2 linked regions of the Rattus norvegicus genome follow. The protein of the gene in region 2 purifies or fractionates together with the protein of the main gene of each other region. This does not show direct contact. Links are inferred from orthologs where the notes say so. Each region holds a gene or a part of one and is shown on either strand. Other genes may lie near its edges.

What was found.
Region 1: the proteins of Btrc (region 2) and Hivep1 purify together in Homo sapiens (affinity purification with mass spectrometry; 5 studies listed by BioGRID and IntAct, counting the BioPlex papers as one, with this or other methods). This does not show direct contact. The link is inferred for Rattus norvegicus from reciprocal best matches to the Homo sapiens genes BTRC and HIVEP1.

What each region holds. Positions count from the first base shown.
Region 1 is NC_086035.1:22,819,548-22,823,199, forward strand, and holds part of Hivep1 (zinc finger protein 40), read right to left. Parts: coding exon 1-3,652.
Region 2 is NC_086019.1:254,298,792-254,302,443, reverse strand, and holds part of Btrc (F-box/WD repeat-containing protein 1A), read right to left. Parts: intron 1,651-3,652; coding exon 1,464-1,650; intron 1-1,463. UniProt on the Homo sapiens protein: Substrate recognition component of a SCF (SKP1-CUL1-F-box protein) E3 ubiquitin-protein ligase complex which mediates the ubiquitination and subsequent proteasomal degradation of target proteins. Recognizes and binds to phosphorylated target proteins.

The DNA.
Region 1 (3,652 bases), on a different chromosome or scaffold from region 2:
CTTTCCTGTCTTCTGTTTAGAATTCAGAAGAGAAAGAGCAACTTTTGTGGGCAAACCGAGTGGATTGGGGTTACTGGGGCTCACTGTCCACCCCGCATAGGCTGACGTTTTCTGGTCACTCTGAGCCAAGGGCAATGACTTCTGTCTCAGCAGGTAACACCATGTAAAGCTAGTTGCAGTCTTGAGGCTGGGGAAAGATGGCTGCTGAGTGTCTGAGCTGCTCAACACTGAGAGACCAGGGATTGGAGGCTGCCTTTGCCCTTGGATGACTTTGTTCTCTTCATTTTGAACCCCTGATGACCCCTTTTCCTGGTTGTCGTCTCTAGATTTCAAAGGCAAAACACAGGCACTTTCCAATGGGATGTGTGAACTTCCCACTGTAGGAGTCAGTGACGTGGACAACTTGGTATTTTTAAACTCCTGGAATTCACTGACATGGTCTGGGACTGCAAACATAGAGTGTCTGGATGACAGACTATCGGTTGATAAAACCTGAGTTGAGTCAGCATTCCTGCTGCTCTTTCCAGAGGCAGAACCAGGGTCCTGCTCTAGTGCCGTTCCTTCCAGGGGTTCCACAGTGCAGAGCTGCCGTACCAGCACTGGCTTCTTCTGCTTATGGCCCTCATTAGCTCTTGAGCTTGGCAGCTCCAATGGTCTAATGTTTGTGCTACAAACAGCTCCGTTCTCATCTTTAGCTCGTTTCTGATGCTTTTCCATGGCAATGTCTAAACTGTTTGCTGGGGAAAGCATCCTTTTACTCGAGGCTGAGGATTCTTGTTGTGGGGAGAGTCTACCAGCAGACACTTTCTGAACTGTCGCCGAGGATTCTGAAACTGGAGCGTTTTGGCCCATCTCTGAGAGAACAGTTTTGCACGCAAGATCCTTCTCCGGTGTTGGCAATGCATTCTGGAGATAGTTCTGTGATTTTGGCATGGGATTTTGTTCTTCACTGACTGGCACTATACTTTGATTAGTTTGGCAAATTGGCGTGTTGGACAGATCGTGGGTCACTAAGATCTGCGGCAGAGATGTGACAGTAGAGAGACAGTACACTGGGACATCCCTCGGCTGGAGCACAGGCAGCACAAAGGAAGGCAATCGCTTCTGCACCTGATCACTCGGTAGCCCAAGCTCCAGCGATGGCAGAGGGTAGGATTTAGACACAGGATCGACTGCTTTGGCTGACAGTGCTACTGAGGCTGTGCAGGGATCAGCTGCAGTTTGATCCGGAAGAACTGGATTAGGTAAAGAATGCAAAGGACTAGAAGAGCAACCCCGGCCTGACGTGAATGCTTGACACTGAAGCTGGTACTTGGGAGCAAAGCTACCGTCGCCTGTAGAAGACGTACCTGCAGGGGGAGGTGCACCTGGCTTGCCACCCTGCACAGACACTGGCAGAGGCAGTGGTGTGTTTTGGTGACTAAGGGGCATGTTGGTTTTATTTAATAAATGGGCACCAAAAAGTTGTTGAGGAGGAAAGGTGTCAGTAGAGCTACAACTTGACATTTCTGCCTGTAAATCCTTAGCCAGGGCCTGGGAGGGCACAGTGTGTGCAGGAAGGTCAGCAGAAGCCACATCAGGAGGCCTCAGGGCCTGCAGTGGGATTGCATTCACACCAGGGAGAACAATAGTCTGGAGAGCTGATACACTGCCAGGAGACAGGGGGCTATCCGAAGCTATGTTCAAAGATATCTGCCGGGTCAGGGGACCTCGCCTCCTTTCTAGAAGGGGCACATGCCCAGTGCCCCCAACACCAGATGGGGAGTTGGAGGGCTGAGGCTCAACAAGTGCTGGCACCACATGGGAAGGAGCAATGCTCCCGCAGTCGAATGACTTACTTCGGAAATCAGAGACCTCCATCAGTGTGGGCACGCAACTGATCTGCTCGGATGCCGCCCGCCTCATCTCCCTGTGACTCCCAGGGACACTCAGTGTGTTTGAACCCAGCGGAATAAAAAGAAACTCAGCTTTGCTTGGAAAGTCAGTTTTGGGGGACAGCTCTACTTTAGAAATGTCTTCTACATCTAGGGAGGCGGAGAAGCTGGATGCATGGGACAAGCTGCTTTCTCTGCTGAGACTCCGGGAGAGTGTGGACTCGAAGCTTGACTCGGTTGAGGAGTGCTCTATCTCAGCCAGCCGGAGCCTTTTCTTTTTGGGTGGCAGCTTCTCTGTCGGCAGCTTTGATAAGGTCTCACTGCGCTGAGGCCAAGTAAATTTCTCTGACTTTTCTTCGTCATGACTCTGGGCTTCTAGGTCCCGGTCTGGCTCTTCAGTGACCAGAATTTCTGGGACCTGGATGTTGTGCTGCCGGACAAGTCTCAAGGGCTGCCCTAACACAAAGCGCTCACTGGGAATCTTTCTAGCACTTTCCCGTGACAGTGCTATCTGATGTGTGGCATCCCGAGGTGGGTGACCTTCCTCTGGGGGCATCCCTATCACTTTCAGGGCCCCAGGCATCCCAGCTCTGCCTAATTCCTGTAAAGAGAAGGCGGTGCCTCCTTCCAAGGGCTCCAGCTTGTCGAATGAACTGGGCCTGCTCAGGGAGTTGGTGTGCTGGATGACTGAGATGCCACCCGCTTGTCTCTGCACCTCGATCCTGTCCTGAGTTGCGGAATTCAGCTGCTGTTCAACCACGGGGCATTGCTTCAGGGGCAAGGCCTGTTCAGGGACCCTGGCCACAAGCTGAACAGGCGAGCTCTGCAGCTGGACGCCCCTGTGTGCCTGGTCACCTGCTGTGGCAGGGGCTTGTTTGGACGGACTGGGAGCAGACCCTGGAACTGGCTGCAGCTGGAGGGCTTCTGCGCTTTCTGGGGACCGCCCGCTCTCCCGAGGCTGCAGGTCCTCATCATCGCCTACGCTTTTCATTTTCCTCCTCTTTCTTATCTGGGGTGTCTGCTCCCACACAGCCGTGGGAGCGGCAACTCTGTAGTGGAGAACCTGGGGTTGCACCCCACCAGGTGCCAGGCCGTGCTCAGGCTCTCTCGCAGCCACCTTCGTTTTGGGCCCATGTAACTCTGAACAGTAAAATTTCTTATGATTCTCGAAATTCTCCAGTTTCCGGTACCTGTTTCGACAGGTTTCACACTCAAACATGGTCCCTCGTCCTTGATGTGACTTCTTCTTCTCTAGGTGAGGGGTGTTCGCTGCTTTGCTCTGCACTGGCCCAGGCTCACTGGAGGCTGGGCACCCTTGACAGCTCTCATCCACAGACTGCCCAGAGCCCAGAACGTGATTCTCACTGGCCGTCGAGTCTTCCACTGCCGCCTGTCTGACCAGGGGACGGTGATGTCCACTTGGGGGCATGGATGGGTTGGGTCCCGACACAAAGACATCATCATAGAAGGTGCCAATTTTATCATCAAATGACTGGCTTCCTCTCAGAGGGGGAGGGGGAGGAATTATGTTTGCAGGGACTGCTGAATATCCCGTGGTTGGCATGGAGTTACTTCTCGTGATAGGCAGACAGTCCAGGGAAGGGACAGACAGGAGGAACACCTGCTTTGACTTCTCGGTCGGGGTGAATGGGGACTTTGGTATATCAGAGCTGGAACTTGTTCTCCGTCCCATTGGCTTCAGGTCGAACTGGAAAGAATCTTTGAATATGTATGACTTGGGGGAGTCGATGCTTCCCCGTCTAGAAAGCGAGGTTCTC
Region 2 (3,652 bases):
CAGGGTACTCAGGTCAACACATTCATGAATCCATGAATTTCAAAGATACAAAAGCATGAGAGCCAAGCCAATTTGAAGGAAGGGTGATCTATTTCTCTCTCTCTCTCTCTCTCTCTCTCTCTCTCTCATGTATATGTGTATGTATGTGTATATAATATATATATATATATTTCCTGCTTCAGTTTCCTTACTTGCTGGGATTACCATGTCCACCCAGCTAAGTGAGGATTTGTTTTTTGTTTTTGTTTTTTGTTTTTTTTTGCTTACAGGACTGGACCCAAAGCCTTTATACACAGTGAGGGCACCTGTAGCCCTTAGCTGTTTTTACACTTGTTTTGAGACAGGGTCAGGCTGAGTGAGGGTGGCCACATATGTCCTAGCCGCCTTCCTTCTTCTTGGAAAAGCAGGCCGTATGGCCCAAACGGAGCTTCCCCTTAGTAATCTTAACTGTTTGAGGTTGTGTATGACTCCAGACCCAAAAGGAACCAAAATAAATAAATAAATAAATAAATAAATAAATAAATAAATAAGTTCTGAAGGCAGTCACTGGGCACACACATGCCTATTGTCATTTTTTTATCAAATATACTTAATAACTTATTTAATGAATTATTCATACCTGACTTTCTTATAGTGACATTCTAGAGATATACTCTAAGGCAAAATTCTAAAAAGAAAAATATCTTCAAGAAGTTTTAATGAAATAGTGCCATTGCGCTCAGGGAACACTACTGGTGAAGTCTTTCAGGTCGTTGACTACACAAGGCCTTAGGAAATTCATAATCAAGCAAGCAAATCTAAAGATACAAGTTTTAGGAAGAAACAAATGATTTATACTAAATTCCACTTTTCATTCTTTCTGATAGCTTACTTCTACTTGGGCATAAAAATTAATTTTTGATTACAGAGGTGGTGAGACATGGAGGTGGAGACTGCAGTCTGGGAAGAACAACAATTCCACCTTCCCCAGAAGAGGAGGAAGTAGGAGTGGGCTCTTTCTACCTGATTCAAAGCTCTCTTTCCTTCCTTAAAAGTTCTCTCTCAGCCTTTCTGCAAAATTCCAACTTCGTCCAGAGAGCAGAATGTTTTGTTTTTTTTTTGTTTTTTTTTGGTTCTTTTTTTTTTTCGGAGCTGGGGACCGAACCCAGGGCCTTGCGCTTCCTAGGCAAGCGCTCTACCACTGAGCTAAATCCCCAGCCCCGAGAGCAGAATGTTTTAACTGGGAGGGCAGTCAGTTTTCTTTTTTCTTTTGAAAAATGTCATCTCATGATCGACTGGTCAGAAGAAAACTACTGCGTACATGGACAGCAATTCGCTTGTATTTTTAGCTAAAAATTGGACAAGGACTATGGCTGATGGGAAGTGTCCCTGCTGGCTCCCGACATTCCCTCATGCTCAGCAGCCAGGTGGGGGGGGGGGGGGGGATGCCGGAATGAGGCAGGAAGAGGAAGGGAAGGGCTCACCACCCTCTGCGCTCTGCCAGGCCTCGCCACAGAGAGTCTGTCCTGACCATCCTCTCGATGAGCTTCTTCCACAGCATGCCGTCCGACGTCACGCGGTACCATTCCTTGCACACAAGCTCAGCAGCACACAGTGATCTGGCGTCCAAGTATGACAGAATGTTCTCAGCAATATGGTCCAGACCCCGTGCTTCAGTGAGGGAAGGAAGCACAAAAAGAACAGAGCGGGTGCTGAGCAATTTTTCACAGAAAGCCTTTAAAAGAGCAGTGCACGCTGTGAGATGAAGGCACACCACTGTCCCTAGTGTGGTCCAGCTTTGCTCAAACAGAGACTTGGGTAAAATGAGTGTCAATAATTTTTCCATAAGGTTACAGAAATGAACAGTATTTTCCATCTTCTGTTAGATAAGGAAGTTAAAGCTAACAACCAGCAAACCCCCAAGACATTAAAAATAAAAAGGAGTCCAGAAAACAGTTCCCATCTATCTATATGGATTTCAACACTAGGGGATGTTCTACGGATGGCGTCTCAAACTCAGTGATTCAGACCCCCCGAAATCCTGATATTAGGTCCATTTCTCATTCTCTCCTATTACTGCTGCAGTTCCAAAGCTATTCAGTGAAAGAAATATCCTTTAAATGTACTGGGGAGAGAGAGGCAGCAAGTCAGACTGCTCTGGGACATGGGACGTGGGCAAGAGGAGAAAAGTGAGCACACTGTCCAAGAGCAGCCTGAGAGGAGACACAGGGACCCTGAGAGGAGACACAGGGACATTAAGGTTCAAAGAGGAGTCTGACTGCATGTTAAAAACAAAACAAAGCCTACTGCTCTAAAACCTAAGCGGCACTTGACCTAAAAAGGAAAAAAGAATCTTACCAGTAAACATGAGGGTAGCATTTCAAAAGAAAATATGGCAGGCTGATCTTGGGCGGTGGAAACTAGCATACTCCCCAATTAAAGCTCTTTACCACCCATATATACATCAAGGCCTGGGTGGGAAAGAGCCCATCAAATAGGATGGCCACCCTAGCAACATTTTTGGCATTGCTGTTCCAAGTTCTCAGGTCAGACAAACCATTCACAATCTCTGAGGTCTTCTGAAGGCTCACAAGTTGGGATGGATTCCTTCAGTCTGTCATCTGCAGGCATGAACGGGAAAGGACTGACGCCGTGCGTTTTTGACTCTGCGTGTCTCCCCTGAATCATATGGAGACACACTTGGCTGCCATTAGCAGCAATCCAAATATGCTTATTAAACATTATTCTAATTATAAAAATTGTATGGCTATCTGTCAAATTCTCCAGCAGACTTGGGGAAAGAAAGCTTTAAGTGGATCTTGTTGGCTGGCGTCACATGTTCATATTTAAGTATAAGCAGATGGAGGCATCCGCCACCTAATTCTTATTAAAGGAATATGATTATAGGCCAATTAAAGATAATAAAGTTCCTCACCGAAGATACGATGATGACATATTTCCCAAATCTTTTATATTTAAATGTTCTACAATATCAGAAAAGGCATTCTTACATTTTTAATGGCTGCCATCAATGGCAGCCTGATTGTGTACAATGTACCAGTAATAAGAGTAATTTCACCCAACACTCCAAACAAAACAGTTACATAATGGACTATAGGCAATCTCTGGAGTAGTTTGGTTTACTAAATGTAGCCAGATGGTGTAGGTTGAGAAGCTTAAATGGCTGTTAGGCACTGGACATGATTTAATACCACATAGTCTAGTCAGCTGATACACACTAGGGATCAGTCCAGTATTAGGCAAAATACACTGGTCCAATCAACACTGGTTCAATTCTTAGTGTCTAAGCCTGAGACAGTAACATGTTTCAATGATTGGGAAGAGAATAGCAGTAGGTGTACTCAGATTGTGCAAAGAAAAGTGCTTGCCAATGGCTACAAAAAATCCAGTATTTTACAAGAGGACAAAATCTATTCTATTTAAGCAAAGAATATAGGTACAATTCAGTTTTAAAGTGGTTACTCATAATATACAAATAAACATTTAATTTTAAAAGGTAATTTATTTTAGGTTCAGAAAAACAAAGCTTTAAGAAATTGCTGCCAAGGAATGAGAGAGGCAGCACCACACAGTTCTAAGGCAGCTCCTGCTAGTGCAGTGTGCTGGAGGAGAGGCTGTCAGCATGGACCAGAGCCTTAGAAGTGAGGTTGCT